2 linked regions of the Oreochromis niloticus genome follow. The protein of the gene in region 2 purifies or fractionates together with the protein of the main gene of each other region. This does not show direct contact. Links are inferred from orthologs where the notes say so. Each region holds a gene or a part of one and is shown on either strand. Other genes may lie near its edges.

Region 1 (9,219 bases), on a different chromosome or scaffold from region 2:
AGCAAATTCAAAAGTCTGATAAGAATGCCCTCTCTGAACTCTGTATGATGACATGGAGCAACTACCCAACCAGGGTACCCATTTTATCTCTCACTCCTGTTAAATGTTCACTATAAGTCAGCTGATGATCTGTCTTTTAAATGATGGATGGTAATGGTAATTATGACTGTATATGTAACAGGATTTATGTTATGCTACTTTGCACACATTAGGTGTGGTTAGAAAACTCCAGGTAAACTTGACATTAATATTAAACCCAATCAGTCTGAACCAGGGGGAAAAAATAAAAATCTTGTTGAAATCCGCTTTTCACATATAGTTACATACTCCCACTGTGACATGTGGATAACCAGTCCCAGTCATGCAGGTTCTAGCTTTATCCATAACAGGATTCCAGGATCTTGTTCAAGGACACACAGAGTACACACGGCTGATTAGAAACTACAGACTAATCGCTTACAGGGTTTTAAACTCCATTTCCACCTTCTGTCTTACCAATTTCCATGGAGGGGATCCTAGTTTCCCTAAATGATCACTTGAAACTAATCATAAGCCTAATTCTATTAGCTTTTTAAGGTGATGCTGATGCAAAGCCAGACCACCATAAAGGTTTGCCAGGGTTTGGCAAAGTAACATCAGTTCAACAGCTATCAGAGATGGACAAAAAACACCCACAAGTAACCCTGGCTATTCAAAATATCCCACTTACAGCACTCCACTTAAGAGTATGATTCTTCCCACCAACGGCTCTGACTAGCTAAGGAGCAAAAACTTGACCTAATGTTTTGTTTTTTAATCAAAAAATCTACTGTTTTATGTCAGGAATTCATCTGTGTGGTGGATCAAACTGAGCCAAAAGATCTGGAACCACACAACCACAAGGACTTATTTTATCATTTCTTCAATTAATAAAAAATAGCTTATTTGGACCAAACTCAGTCCTTGTGAAACATCTGAGTCTTAACCATCCTAAATGCTTGTTATTAAAACTATTTTGCAGAAGCAAACACTTGTATGTTGACATATTTTATGCTAAACTTTCTCCAAGTTTGTTTTTGTACATATTCCTTGTGTGCTCTCATTCTTCTTGGCTTTTACCTGGGACCTGTGTGCAAAAATTAGTTTCACTTCCTGCAAGTGCACGTGTTGGAATGACAAAAAAACGCAGAAGATTTAAAAGTTCCTCATGGTTGACACATTTCTATATCACTGCCCAACTCTACTTTTTTTCATTAAAACCATGGTTTACCTACATCCCCAAAAACTGAAATCCATTTTCAGGGAACTGCTTACAAGTCATCGGGACAAAAACCTGTGACTAGAACTTCCCAGCTACACTGGTAGTGGCCTTGAATCATAAGTAAACAAGAAAACAAAAAGGGTTTAGAGCCACTGCCTCAAAAAGTCAACCAGCAAACCGGTTTCAATCAGCATAAAGAAGGGGTGGAGGGGGGCAATGCTGCCTGGCAAGCTACAAAGTGGCTCTTCATGTGCTGATGTGACAGATTTAGGAGCAAGAAGCAATCCAATCCACCCTGAGTACAGGCTGAAGTCTACATGAGTTACACACGCTTTCAGCTCTTGTGCAAACAAAGACTCGGACCTGACTGAGAGGCTGCAACACAGCGTGCAGGAAATAACACATGGCTGTGAGACATGAAAACCACGTTGCTTTAACAGGGCAGGGAGCTGTCCCCTACATGTGCATCACCAATATCACTCCACCTGATCGATTATCGACAATCGGTGTGGATTCTGGGGCAACTTCGTGTGAATTGTTACAGACAAAAACATAATAGTAATCCGTTTTCTGGATCACTGATCGATAAGATAAAATGCACGATGAAATCTGCCTGCTAGCTTCCAGGCTAACGACACCTAGCAGGGTGGAGGAGCAGACTAGGTGCCGGGTTTTGCTCTGACAACACATACACGACGTGACAACCGGCTTCTTTACCACGAAAACCCCCGGACCGCCTCAGGCAAGACCGCCACATGCGACATCTGCCCTCTAATGCAGCGAAGTCGCCCAAGCAGACAGCTAGCTAGCTAACAGCTCTCATGCCTTTCTCTAGGGGAACACGTGGAGTGAACACGTGACGTCTCACAACAAACATGCTCGTTTTTAAGGCTTAAACCACCAAATGTTTCAGGTTTGACAAGAATTTTAGCACCGAGGAGGGTTCTTTAAACGACTGAGAGGCTGACGTGTTTTACACGGGCTGATCGGACGCGAGTATTAGCCACATGGGAGCTAGGCTAACATCTGAATGAGAAGGGCCCGGCGAAGGACTAGGCCAAAAAGGGAGTCAGTGTGCTATTGTTAGCCGGCTAAGCTGCTACACAACCGAGCATACTCGTGCCTTTAATGCTAATTGATGTAATGCAAGAGACATGGGCGGATGTCCCGATCAACTGATGCGGTTGATGCTGTGTCGAAACCGGCCCCAAAAGCAAACATGTAAACAGTAGTAAATACTGGTTTAAATATTTGGCAAGCTTGGTGTGTGTCAGCAGAGCAGAGATGTGGCTGTATGCAAGGGTGGGTGTCAGCAGAAGAAGGGGGAGGGAAATCATCAAGACAGGGGAGCTTCTTTCAGTCTTCTCCTCCTAACTTGAAAGTTTAAAGTCTATGCAAGCAAGCATGCACGATGACATTGCTAAAATTAATACGCTCCTCCTCCTAAAAAGCCCCAAGAAAGAGACACCAAAACTCTCTCAAGTAAAAGAAAATGCACGATCTGATGACACACCAGTGATCAACTTCACAACCTTTGCACCACAACACACAGTGCCCATAAACCGTCCACCCAAGTGAAAGGCTATTTGGGGTACCGGATCCCTGAACTGCACCTTTAAATTTCAGAAAAGCTGCAGGCATTTTGGAGCACCTTTACTTTTTTTTGGGAAGGGTGTGATCACTTGTGCAATCAGCCACCCATGTTCCCCCAAGAATAGCCTTCACTATGAGGTGGTGGTGGTGGTGGAGGAGGGAGGGCTTTAACTCCAAATATAACCAGCCTGCAAAATACCACAGTTAGAGCTTGTTCATCAATTCTGTTGCCTCTCTTTTTTCTTTCTTTTTGGTTCAATAAATCACCCCCATGACTCCCCCTGTGAAAGCAGGACGACCACACCTGTGCAGGCAGACACTAAACACAACACTGACAGCCAGTAAATCAACACGTAGGGAGGGTACAGACCGTGGTGTGCTTGTCCATTCACGCTGACCACGGTCACAGCATTCATTTTCCTCGTCCACGGGTTCACCTTGGGCGGGGGAGCTTCAGTAAACTCCTTTTTGTTGCCACCGCCGCCTTTAACTCCCTCCTCGCCTTGCTTGTCTTCGCTGTCACAGTCGCCTTTGCTCTCCTCTGTCGCCCGCTTGGAGGTCTGCTCCTCCGAGCCGGTGGTCCCTCCCTGTCCTGGACTGCTGCTGCCGCCTCCGCCGCTCCCCTGATCGGCGACACCCGTCTGCCGCTTGGCCCCGTCGCCCCGGCCGCTAGGCTCCTCCTTAGGCTCACTGCGGATCACTTTACCGTGCTCCTTCGCTTGAGCAAGCGGGTTGCCGGGTAGGAGAGCCTCCACCTGAGTGGCCATTTCCCACCACCGTCTTTCTTCCCCCTCAGGATTACCAGTCCTCCCCCCCGGCCCGAATTCGCCTTCAATTTCAGGGAAACGTGAAGTTTTTCCGCAGAGTCTGCCGCTTCTGTGTCGCTCCGAGACCAAAAGAGCTTCAGTCCACGACGCGGAGCAGTCAGCGCCGAGTTAGAGCATATAAAAAAACCCAAGAAACGTCTCCGGGGCCTCTCAGGATTACAACCTTATCTCCACCACTAGTAGCAACATGGATGATCCCCACCACGCGATAGAGTGGTGCGCGCACGTACAGTGTGGAGGGGGAGGAGACACGTAAAACGCAGGGAGCGCGCTTTTGGGTCAGGTCGACTTGCTGCTTTCAAGCGCTTCCTCGTCATAAAACCTCTTAATTTCCAATTTGGGAAGTCGTAAAGTGGCTCTTCGTCGGGCGCATTCAAGTGCGATCAGTAACGAAACGTATCACTGAGTCACGCTGTGTGTTTTGGACGAAATTAGCTGTTGAAACCAAGGAGTCACACCAAAGACAAAGACATTTTTATAAATGAAAAAATAATTAATCATTTTAATGCATATTTTTTTATTCCGCAGTGAAACTGGAATAAAAGTAAAAGACAGCATTTAGATATATTAATGACGTTCACATAATAATTGATTTAACCCAGCTGTCCCAAATTTTGCCGTTGGGGTGTGACTAAGCATGTAAGCCCAGCATGGATGAAGTTAAATTATAGGAATGACCGGCTGTAGGTCAGTTTTTATGGTAGGCCACGAGTTCAATAAATAAGTCATTAAATAAACCAATGAATTAAATATAAAATAATTTCATTTAAAACCTTTAATGTATTTATTTCCCATTTTAATTACATATGGATAGATTAAACATAGTACAGTCTACATTGCACAACAATAAACAGCAAAGACACGTGTATTTATTTAAGAATGTATTTATTTATTCATTTTGGTATTCGTGCACCTTCATAAGTTTTATTGCAACTATTTTAACAGTGATTGATTGGATCAGAGCTTTCTTTGTCTTGAGGAGGAGTTGAGCCAATCAAATGCTCCAAAAGGGTTTCCTATCATTACTTATCACCCTCAATCACATGCTACATAAAAAAGCTAGTTAAACACCTGTAATGCTTAAACTGTATTTAACTAAGCAAAGAAAACGTAAAGGAAAAATACAATAACTTAAAATAGCATTGCCTGTCCCACAGATAATACTATCAGTGTGAAATGTGTTTATGTTACTCTTATTGATTTTATACAATTTTATTTGTAAGAGACTATCACAACAATGTTGGATAAAATGTGTTTGGACTTTAGGAGGAAACCCAAGCACCTGTAAAGGTGAGAAATTAATTTTCCCAAGAGGCCACATGCCAGCCTGGGACTGTTGTGCAGGGCTGGACCAATGAGCTTATAAAGAGATTAAATAAACTTGTCGGGCCTTACGCAGTTTCTCATGTGGTCCCTCGGAAATATGAAGTGCCCACCCCCTGATCCTGGAGGAAACGTGCAATTATAACCGCTATCACCATCTATTAATACTTATACCCTAGTCTACATCCACGTCAGATTTTTCCGATAGACGTAAACGCACCGCGGATCTTTTGATGACGTCTGGCACGCTCTTTAGACGTGTCACCGTTTCATCACCTTTACCTCATTGACTAGCTGACCAAAACACAAGCTTATTGTTGTAACAAGTAGTTTACAAATACGTTCGTGGGTACCACGTGGAATTTGTCCTTTTATACGCTTGTATAGATTTTTTTTCTTTTTTTAATTTGAAAAAAAGGAAAAGAAAGAAAAGGAGAAAAAAAGGTGGGCATGCAATCCCCCCTCTCAGAGTTCACACACTATACACACACGTGTGCATACCGGAGCTGCACGTGTGTGCTCCCTCCTGATTTCCAGAAAAAAGAAGAAGCTCTTCCTCTGAAGTTTTCTACTTTTACCGAAACACATAGATAGATTGACCTTCCCTGTCCCTGTTGAGTATGCGTCTGCAGTTCTACGTGTGTTTGTGTTGTGTCTTTAGCGACATTACGCGTCGCTCAGCATTATAGACCTTTTTTAAGCTGGTCTGGTTGATTATATAATGTGCTACTTTATGGGAAAGAGGGGACGCGCCTGTGCGTTTGGAGAAAGAAAATGATGACTTGCGTGAACGCAGAGGGAAAATGTGGCTGCGCATCAGCCAGCTGTTCCTCTACAGTCACCACTGCTCACCGCTATATAGACAGAAGAAGTCATGCAGAAAGGCAAATATTCACTTTACTGAATGCCCCAAGATTAGATTAGAGTCAGAGGCTCTGAGGTATTTCATTAAGAAAAATAGCAACATAAAAATCTTTCATTCACACTCTATAGTAAAACGTTATCTGTGCAATATACAGTATATGAATATACTAATATAATATATAAGTACAAAAAGCAGGCATAAAAGTACTTTTAGGGTGTTTTTGGACTGTAGAAATACTGTATTAATATAAAAAATCTGGATCAACCCCTGTTTCCACAATAGGACATAGTGAAAGTTGATTTACTCTAAAACACTTCAAGTGAATATAATTTTATTTATGTAGTTGTGAATCATAACAGTGGTTGCTTCAGAGAACTTTATATTGTAAGGTAAAATCCCTGCAATAACAGAGAAAACCCCCAACACTCAGAAGACCCCCTACGAGCAACAGCGGAAAGGGAAAACTCCTTTTTAACAGGAAGTAACCTCCAGAAGAACTAGAACATTGCATAATACATAAGTTAATGGATGTAAATATAGTATCTATTCATATTTTTTACAGCTAAAATGTTTAATGTACAGGACTGAATAATACAATATTTCCTTTTCAAATGTACTCCCTGGTGCGGTGAAGTAGCAGAAAACTAACCTAATATGATACATATAATATAAAAGTCATACAGTGCAAAATACAATGTAAATTATAAATTCTGTACACTGTAAAATAAACCTAAAAAAGTACAGTACTGTGCAAAATCCTTGAGCCACAACTCGTGTCTTTATATTCTGCTTTTAAGGAGCAAGACTTTCTTGTAATCTTTTTAAATTGGCCTTGAGCAATAGTTCTATAGGCTCTCTGAAGGCCAGTTTTTCTTTGGACATTCGCTGTTTTTCAGCCCACTCCTTACACCTGACTATTTTCAGATGAATGTTTTTGTCTTAAGCCACTAAAGACTGACCTATGAATCATTCGAGCACAAAAAAGGCACCTAACTCAAGGAAAACCAGTGTTGTATCTACACAACAGGCAACTTAACAAAGAAACAATTTTACATTGTTTTTTTACACACTTTGTTACCAGCAGCTTGCCACAAAAACATCATGAACAATGCCAAATAAAACACAGTTTGGCAGGCATAAAATAGTATTTTTGTCAAGCAACAAGTTGATTCCCAAAGAGCTCTTAGCTCAAAAGTTCACATATGGTAAATAAATGGTAACTGGCCTATATTTGTATAGCGCTTTACTAGTCCCTAAGGACCCCAAAGCGCTTTACACAACTAGTCATCCACCCATTCGCACACACATTCACACACTGGTGATGGCAAGCTACACTGTAGCCACAGCCACCCTGGGGTGCACTGACAGAGGCGACGCACTGACATATCTGTGTTGGGTGTGCACAGTGTGCTTAAAAAAATTGAGGAAACTGGAAAAGTGGAGGAAAAAAGAAGAGATGGTAAGCCCACTTTCCAAATATATATTGCAATCACCAGCTCTAGCAAAACACCAAGTTCACCAGATTCACAAAGTGTTTAAAAATAAAACATACGTTATGTGTTACAAAGCATTTATAAAAAGTTTTGACACATGATCCCAGGAGCTTTAGCTGTTGCACACGGCCGGCAGGATTCCTGGAGTGTTTTCTGAGTAAAGCCAGAACTATGCCGTCAGCCAGCACTGATCATGGCATGCACATACTTCCTCTTACCCTACTGTTAATGGTTGCATTATTATGAAGGGCGTAGCATCGGTTACTATATTTGAATGATGGGTGTGTGCAAGAGAAAACAGTTCTGTGACAAGAGAAAGTAATGAGAGAAAAAAAGTTTGGTTTGATTTAAATTACACCAACCATATAAATGAATTCACACCCATCACATTCCTGCACGCACATTCTCCAGCACTTCCTTAAAACGGGTGGTCCCGACTACTGAGATCAATAAAAACTGACAGCAGGTCTCTTTAAAGCTAGCACAACCAATTCTGCAGCATTCATATAGCCATAAATAGTATGCTATATTTAAACCGACCCAGTAGCATAGTGACCTCACTGCAAAGAAACCAACTACAGGTTCATTTTTAACATCAGAATATCTCCCACATTCTCTATTAGGGATGAATTTTCATCTTAGCTGCCATCATTATTGTGTTTTTTTCAGTCAGTGCTTCACCACAGGGAATGCTTTAAAGTTAAAAATAAAAATAAATGCTTAGTGGAAGAGTATTAGTTAGTAGTTGGTACACCAGTAACAATTTGTGATACCAAAACTGTGAAACCTCAGACACCAGCTTATGTAGACCTAAATCTCCCACGTGAATGGGGATATGGTAGACAAAACTGGACCAGCTGCTTTTCTCGAGCTGTTATCCACATTATAATCATGCAACTGTCATAAAAGTCAGTCCTCCTGCTTTAGTCCTGCCAGAACACAATGTGTTTAAAAAGTGTGTTCAGGTATGTTAATTAATAAAATACTTTCTTTTTTCATAGAGTTGAATATGAACGTTTCCAGCAATACATTTTATAATAAACAACATTAAAGGTACAGTGTGCAAAAATCTCACCACTAGATGTCTCTAGATTGCAACTTGCAGTCAATTGAATTCTGTTTTCTTAACCCTTCCAATTAAAGTGCAGAATCCTGGGTAAGGTGGCCGCCGTTCTTCTGTAGTGAGTGTGGGCTGTCAGGCCACTCTTAACCTCAGCTGTCAATACGTGTCCACATCTATTTGCTATGCAGGAGGTTGTAAAACTATTAAGTGTTGATGAGCCAGGGACGCTCACTTCTGTCTGATGACAGCAATACTGAAATGAGTTGTCGAGGATATCCTGAAGTTTCCTGCCAGTAAGCGTCACTGTCTTTGCTGCTGTTAGCCAGCGTTTGTGAAACTATCTTTGAAGTGGATTTAACATTTAACAAAAGGGAGTTTTTTCCCTCCCACTGTCTCTGTCTCCAAAGTGCTTACTTATAGGGGGTCGTATGATTGTTGGGTTTTTATCTGTATGTATTATTGTTGGGTCTACTTTATAAAGCGCTTTGAGACGACTGTTGTTGTGATTTGGCGCTGTATAAATAAATCGGATTGAAATTGAATTCAATTGTTTCATATGAGAGGGAATAAACCCTAATGCAATATGAAAATGTAATCAAACTGTTCATCAGAGCGAAAATTAGATTTTTCGGTCACTCAGGTCTAACATTAACATAATGTTAGCTGATAACTAGCTGTGTTGATGTTTAGCCAGTTTGTTGTCAGCTGTGCGCAGAAGGGATGGCCACATGTCTAATCTGCTGTCAATAAGTAATTGTAACAATACTGAGAATAAATAAGCATGTTTTGTGCAAGTTTGTGTGTGTCACAGCCCT
Region 2 (8,215 bases):
ACAAAGAAATACATTCTTAAAAGTTATCGATCATTTGCAAAAGTTATCGATGAACTTCTGAAGCCCTACCATCTTGTAATAACGTAATTTGAAGCTAGAAGCAGCTTTCTTGTGTTTTTAAGGCTCACATATTGCAGGGGTGGTTGCAGTCCACTCCACTCCTCTTCTTCCCGCACATGTCACCGCAGCTGTGGGGAATCTCAGTACGCTGCCACTCAGGGTTTGTCACTTTACCTGCCAATGAAACAAACGGAACAACTCTTCCCATCACTCTCTGTAGCAAACTTAACGTAACAAAGCTTTTGGAAGGAGTCAGTAGTATATGATAACAATTTCATTAAATCGTCTAACCTGAGAGCAAGTTCATCACCATTTCTCAGCAGTGATGTACATCTATGCTTGAATTAAACAAATACTCACCACAGAAGCAGGTGTAGGAGGTCGGGTGTTTCATTGAAACATTCTGGCAGGCTGGACAACGCCAACCTTCAGCTGAATCTGTTACAAAAAAGCTGAACTTAAAAATACATGCATCCATTTTTTCTTTCTGCATAACGCTGAATGAAAGGTTCACCCTCTGGGAAGGATGTGCTTTCCCAGTACAGTCATCTGTGGCACTGAAGTAAAAACCACTTAGCCTTAAATGTAGCTTAAAACATTTTTTCTGTATTTTTTTCCTATGATGAAGGACAGAAGGTGACGTGTCGTATTGTATAGCGCAGATTCATAATGGGAACAATAACAGAAATCCACTTGACCTCTCGGTTTTCAATGCAACACAAAGCACTGCAGAAGCAGCAGGAATTTCACTGCACGAGTTACTGTCACAGTGACCATCCCTGAACACTGAGTACCAGCCACTGTTAGGAGCTCGTTATGCTGAGTACACAGACTGCACTAAAATGCTCACACACAGAGTAAACACTGTGTTCACACGCCGCACCGTCTGCCTGCGAGGCTGGCGATCGAGCCCATTTCTTGATGCAGTTGAGGTGGAAGACGTGGAAGCAGCTCTGACAGCTCCACACCGGCGCCATGACCCGGATCACATCACAGCACACCATGCACTCGTATTTCTCCTCCGACAGCTGTTCAATCAGACACCCTGCGGAGGAAGAGATCAGAGGTTCAGAAGACTGCAACAAATACTTCGTTTCCACCCACAGACCTTTATCCAAAACTTTCCGCTCGTATGTCGTTTAGTTCACTGACAGACTCATCAATAATTCAGGTTGCTTCCAACCAAACATCATAAGACTTTTACACTAAGTAAGCACTCTAAAACATGGGCTTGGGTTTTTGGACCTTGATTTGCATTTTTAATTATTTCCCGCCCTTTTTAAAGACAAAATAATCAATAAAACATAACATTAAACATTGGTTACAGGGCCAATATTAAAACTAACTGAACTAGAGCTACTAAAAAGGGACAAAAAAGTCCCCCAAAAACAACCAAAAAGGACCGTTTTTTGCAAATATAGTGAATATGAAATACTTAACAGCAAAATATGGGGAAATTTGAACCAACTTATGTTAGTTTGTTAGGAAACCAGGTTTCCTAAAAAAAAAAAAAAAAAAAAAAAAAAATCAATAAATTCTAATTAAACATTTTGTGTCTAACAAAACTGTAACAATATAAAAATGTAAAACATTGATAGAAATTTAAAATAAGTTGGGGAATTTGATCGCCATACAATATCTTAGAGAAGTAAGAGTCGAACCTGTCTGCGTCTCTTTGCTCTTTGGCACCTTGTTCCAGCTCCTCTGACCAGGTTTGTAGTTTTGATAGTTTGTTCTTCTCCCACCTCTGGCCTGAAGGGGAGCATTCCTCCCTGAGCCTCTTCCACCTTTGCCTGCAGGATCCTGAGATGCTCGCCCCTGATCAGAGTCATCTTGGCCACTGGCTCCCTTCTCTGAGCCTGGCTCCTCTTGAGATGGTTGTTTGGGTGGTTTGATTGGTCCTTGCCGTCGCTTTGGGTCAGTGTGTTTCCTCTGATTATTGTCATGTTGGCACTCTGAGTCTTCTCTCTTCCGCTGATCCTCCACTGTGGTGTTGTTCTCCTTCAAACTGCCATTCTGTTCTCCCTTTCGCTGCTCCTGACTAAACTTCCTTGGTTTTTTAGCCTGGGCATCCTGGTCCTCATTAGTTTGTTCTGTATCCCTGTTTGCACTTCCTCGCCGCCAGTTGGGTCCATCAGCACCACCCATGGGATGTGCAAAAGCATGGACGCCACTCATGTATCTGTTGCTGCCACCGTATGGGTCACCTCCAGGTCTTTGCCGCCATGGCACAGAACCTCCTCTGTTCCCTTCTCTCCATCCTCTTCCTCTACCACGCCTTCTGCCTTCATCTCCTCCTTGGTAAGAAGGACGATGATGGTCTTCATAATTTGATTTATGGCTAAAAGGGGGATTAGTCCCCTGACTAAAGTGTCCAGACTGATGACAGGTCTCATTACTGTTGTTACTCAGGTGTCTGTCATTGTTGTGTCTGGGTCGGCCTCTTCTGGGTTTGTGCTGATGTGACGTTTGATGTTGCGTCCCATCTGGATTGAGGTCAGGTGGGTCTGCAACAAGAAAACAGAACCAAGTTATGAGCAACATCAAATATATTTAGAGCGAAAACACTTAAGACTTTAAACTAGGCAGGACAACATCATTTATTGTCATTTTGCAAGGATTTCGGGGATCGTTGTGACCTATTTACTTATGAGATGACATTTTAAATTGCATATGACAAATAAAGAGTGCAATAACATTTTGCCATGAGCAAATGTTGTTATAGACAGATTTTTTTTCCTGCATATGAAAAAAATGTTTGCACCCGCAGGTGTAAAATCATCATGACCACTTTTTGTGGATGATGTTTGCATGTGTATACACATATACATGTATTTTATGTTCACGTATGCGTGCTTGTGTGTGAATGTGTACATTTTTGTATATGTATTTGCATATTTGCATGTACACATATACTTTTTACAAACGTATATGGATGTCTTACATTGTTTCTATAATGTTTTCATTTTATCTATTTAATTGTTTTTATTGTATTATCCCTCTGTTCAGCACTTTGGCCGACACTTGATGTCTTTTAAATGTGCTATATAAATAAAGATGACTTGACTTTGTGGTTTGCAATACAGTTTTGTTCACGAAGCCCTAATATACATTTCGGTATATCAAATGGCCAAAAACAAGCTGGAAAAGTTCTGCTGAGTAGAGCAACACAGACTCTATGCCTTAACTATATGGGGATGATCTGTTCTTATGTGCAATTTAAAATCTTAAGGTCAGTATATGTACAAGTAATGAAAATATGGAGTCTAAAATGAGCATGACAGCTCTCGATTTTATGGATAACAACGCGTACCATCATCTGGCGTGCTGTTGCCTTTCAAAGTTCCTCGGCTGTCACGCGTCGTTACCTCATCCACGAACTGCACGATCACTCAGAGATGCTAGGCTAACATTAGCAACCCAGAGCAAGTGAACAGAAAACTGCGTCAGCTAAAAGTTTATGTTTAGGCTGCTTAAGGTTGTCCAGCTAACACAACTAGCAAGAGAGTGTGTAACTGTTAGCGAAGCTGCTAAAGTCAGTATTTCAGAATGATTTAAGAGTCGGTTTAGGCTGCCTCGGGTTCCTGTGACTCACTGTTATTAAAACTGCACATTAGTTACCTGAGAAGCCCTCGGCCATTCAGTCTGAGCACTCCTTGTTGCTTGTTCCGCAGCACGTATAACGACAAAGTGCAGCTTTAAGAGAAATGACACGCGTGTCCACGCCCTCCGCGACCGTATCCACCCTGTTTCCTGTCTTCCGGTTCTTAAAAATGATCCGAAACCCCTTAAAAGCGACGGTAATCTTCCCTTGCCTGCCTCGCACCTTATTAATATAAGCTAGCTAGTTAGCTAACGGTTAGCGCAGATGTCATAAACGGAACTTCCGGTCAGCGTTTATAAAATAAAACCAAAATAAAACGTTTTCAAAATTGATATTACTACTGCATGGAACACACAGCAAGAAATAAACGGAGGGAATTACTCCAAAGTAAAAAATAAGACAGTCGTGGTAAAAATACATAAGAAATAAAGTCTTTCAGTTCTAAGGCTTTACACATTATGACATAATAAAAATAACACTTTTTAGTACAACCTCAGATGAACAGTAAGACATGACATACTACACACATTACATCGTGTCACAGTTACACAAAAAAACAAAATGAAGAAACAGTGGGGCAAAAGCTAAGTACACCCACCTTTGTGGCTGCAAATGGAAGTTTTTGTTTTCTGTATGATTTCATCAGTCTTTCTCATCTCTATGGAGGGATTGTGCCCACTCCTCTTTACAAGATTTGTTCATTGAAGTTTGCAGGAAGTCGTTTATGCACTACTCTCTGAAGATGTACTTCAGCTGGGTTGCAACACCTTGATTCTTTTCTTTTTCAGACATTCTGTCAGGGATTTGCTGTTGTTCTTGAGATAACTGTCATGAAGTTTTAGCTTTCGGACAGTTGGGCTCACATTTGACTCTAGAATACTTTGGTATACAGAGGTGTTCATTAGTTTTCAATTACGTAGTAAATATTGAGACATTTATTTATTCATTGTATAAATGTTTGATTCAATATATGAATTATTCCCATTTTGCACATATGAACACTATGTGTTCTTTCCTTTTGATCTGTGACTATAAAAATTGTCTATCTTAATTTGCTTTAATTTTAAATAATATATATATAGGCCATCTAACCTTAATGATTCATAAATAAAGCACATCCATCCAATATAAACAAAAAACTCAAAATCATGCCCACAAGGTGGCGCTTCGTGTTTGGGTTTGTACACCAGAGACTAAGGAGGGCTTTCCCGACTGAAACTTTGGGGAAAAAAACAATATCAATGTAATCTGTACTTCTGCTTATGCTTTAATATGCCCTGTGTTGAGGTACTTTCATGGAGTACATTTATGCAGTTTTGAAAAGGAAGTGAAAGTCAATATTAGTAACTAAAAACTAGATGGAGTTAATAGACTATACTTTGCCCTTTTCATTATGACCTGAAAAGTGATAGAGGACTAATTTGCAGATGTGTTTTGTATCCAGTGCAGTCCTCTGGACCAGAACCCCAGATGACTAAACAGGATATTTAGTCATCCTGGGATGGCTGGGAATCAGTGTCACTGCCTCACGAATTATGCAGATATAAATAAGAGCAAAATGTCTACCAGGCTCTATTACATTAGTCCTACCTTTATATTCAAACTGATGACCTTCAAAATGACACATATTTCCCTGAAAAAAACAATTGTAACACTAGTCATTTTCCCCAGGTGACAGTTAACAAGCAATACTAGCATTAGGGAAATAATGCAATGACATATTTGCTGGTACTAAATCGTAAGTGAACTTAAAAAGCTGCTACTGAGCAAATCCTAAAATTCAGCTGGAAAATACTGCGCTGGAAACCCAAAGGACATCAAGTCAACTGGCGATTTTTCTGCCTTTGATGGCAGCTAAGTGACCTACAGTGCTTAGATGGGTTTCTAGTCTTCAAAATATTACCCAAGAATAAAAACATCCCATAAAATAAAAATTACTCGTGTTTTTGTGGACATATTTCTTTTCCCTTTCAGGCCTACAGCTACACCGACGGACCATTCTGCAGTTACTGAGTCCAGATCACGCATGCGTACAGCAGCCCTCCGTCCTAGTCAACCAGGCGAGGTGGGCGGGAGAGCTATTTGTAAACCATTCAGTTTATGGACATAAAAAACGGATATTTTGGAATGTAATTTCAAAATAAAACTATAAAAATCATGTGACACGAACACATTTTCCCCTTATAAATGCTTACTAGCCGCTATGATACGTTTTATATTAGTACACTGAAAATTCACGATAGAAAAATCAAGCTATCGTCAGCTCTACTGACAACAATCTGAACAAAAATGGATGATAAATGTTATTTTTGTGCATATCTTTCTCTTAAACACATATTTAGACATTTTAAGCTTACCGCCTTTTATATATAGTCTTTTCCATTCATTAAAAATGCATTTACGTAATGTAAAAGCGTTAGCTGGTGTTTTATATTGAAATTACTGCCCAGAAGTTGCGCTTTGTCTCAGCGCTAGCTTGACGTCGCTTCTGAGCAGCTCCGAGCGCAGGAGAGAGTGGCAGTGAATGTGTCTGCGGCAGCGTTTAGCTTTTTAAAAAACGTTAAACTACGACAGAAGAAAACGGGACCAAAGTACCAGACAACCTCGGCAGACCGTGGACTATGAGAAAATTTAAACCGAGCCTGGTAACGTCGCGCGGTTTTGACGACAAGCGGCTTTTTGCACATCTGTAGAGCATAATGAGGGCATCCGCTATTCTTTACGCCGCTTTTCCCTCCGTGGTTTAGTTAGACGCAGAGTGACACTATTTATAAATGTGTCGCTTTTAGACATCTTCTCGCGGAAAATACACACCGAGAGGGGGACCCAGCCTGCAGATATTTGGTAAATTCCCTCCTGCCGTGGGCCCTTGGGGAACAGTGAAGTCATTTGAGAAGTCACAGGAGAAGAAGGCACGTCTTAATCATCTCGATAGTTTAACGCAGTTTTGCAGGGGGAAAAAATCGGCTTAGCCTTTCCATCGGCCGTACAGTCCCCCCATCGTGCTTTCTATCTAATTTTAAATCTTACATGGTTTTGTCTTTCTGAGCATTCATCGCCAACCCTCCTGTGGGCATTTACCCCCTCACAGTTAAAGGATGCCGGATCAAATATCGGTGTCCGAGTTTCTCTCGGAGACAACAGAGGATTACAATTCCCCGACAACATCCAGCTTCACCACCCGAATGCAGAGCTGCAGGAATACAGTGAATGTGCTGGAGGAGGTAAGGCCACGGTGTGAGCCTGCTGAGGATGGATGGATAATTACAGCCACACAGACTGTATTATTATTGTTGTTATTATTTAATAAAGAATGATACTAATGAGGGGAAATGCACCATCTCTGAACGAGGATGCATTTTTTATAGAGCCAAGGGTGCATGCAATCCACCTTAAATTCCGGCGATAATGTTTGAAAGCTTTGAAAATCCCCTCAGACCTCCAGATGCATTAATATGCGCAGAGGAAAGGGGAAAATAATTGCACCTGTTGCCCCTAAAGTGCACCTATTTCAGCCTAAGACCTGATGCAAAATAGTGTGTTATCTCGCCTGATATGAAGAGTAAGAATAGACGGGGTGGATGGCTTTGCTGGAATAGAAAGATGTGCATTCAGGCCTGCAGCTCACTGTGTTCACTATTACATAACTCAAGGCTTTAGAGCATGCCGCCAGGCTGTAGCAGAGAAAACCCTTTTCCTAGTATTCAGATCTGGATTCTGTGTTATTCCTCATTCCTTGCTGTCACAACACACTGATTTGTATCTCAAAAAAAAAAAAAAAAAAAAGCAGAAAACGTTTGCTGGGGAAACACACCCAAAGTCACACTCTGTGATGCTGTGTCACCTCTGATCATGCAGGAAGAGGTGTAATCAGGTCAGGCAGGTGAGCTGTGAAGTGTTTGCCTCCCTTCTTCCTGCCATGATTAAATGGAGCATCAAACCAGGGGAGCGCACACCTTCACCGCCGTCCATTAATGCCAAAATGTGACCTCATTTCCCGCTTTGAAGCACATTTAGCTGCAGACGTGAATGACTCCAGGCTTGCAGGAGCGTTCAGTGTGATACCAGCTTTCCATTTAGGATGAAAATGAGCTGGATGGTGAGTGTGGAGGAGAAAGCACAGGCCCAGTCCGCTTGCTCCAATATACAAAATCACATATTAAAGCACACAATCTGTGCCATCTGTCATGTCTTCTTCTACAGCTTTATCATATCGTAACAATAGGAAATCTACCAAAACAGAGCCGGGCTCGTGTTTATTCTCAACCTGGAGCCGTCTCTCAGTCTGCTGACTGTAACAAGAAAAAGGCTCGCATCATGAATCACCTCTCTGGCTCTGTGCCTCTGAACCGAGAGACTGCAGCAGCACAAACGAAAAACATCTGTTAGAGAGGGCCGCCATGTGCGCTGGGCTTCAGTAGCCGCTCTGGAATTTTTTTTTTCTTTTGCAGTGAGATCACATGACAGAGGAAGAACCGTTACACTGGCACCAAAGAGCGAGCGACATGCTTTTCAGTGTTTTAAACAATGGCGAGATGCGCCTGAAACATT

The links.
Region 1: the proteins of nfx1 (region 2) and larp1 purify together in Homo sapiens (affinity purification with mass spectrometry, with the first as the bait; 3 studies listed by BioGRID). This does not show direct contact. The link is inferred for Oreochromis niloticus from reciprocal best matches to the Homo sapiens genes NFX1 and LARP1.

The regions. Positions count from the first base shown.
Region 1 is NC_031975.2:23,569,940-23,579,158, forward strand, and holds the start of larp1 (la-related protein 1), read right to left. Parts: upstream 3,907-9,219; 5' UTR 3,601-3,906; coding exon 3,204-3,600; intron 1-3,203. UniProt on the Homo sapiens protein: RNA-binding protein that regulates the translation of specific target mRNA species downstream of the mTORC1 complex, in function of growth signals and nutrient availability.
Region 2 is NC_031974.2:14,808,633-14,816,847, forward strand, and holds the start of nfx1 (transcriptional repressor NF-X1), read right to left. Parts: upstream 3,941-8,215; 5' UTR 3,701-3,940; coding exon 3,682-3,700; intron 2,568-3,681; coding exon 1,722-2,567; intron 1,106-1,721; coding exon 944-1,105; intron 499-943; coding exon 421-498; intron 235-420; coding exon 129-234; intron 1-128. Other genes in the region: asap1b (arf-GAP with SH3 domain, ANK repeat and PH domain-containing protein 1), read left to right, coding at 6,763-6,888. UniProt on the Homo sapiens protein: Binds to the X-box motif of MHC class II genes and represses their expression. May play an important role in regulating the duration of an inflammatory response by limiting the period in which MHC class II molecules are induced by interferon-gamma.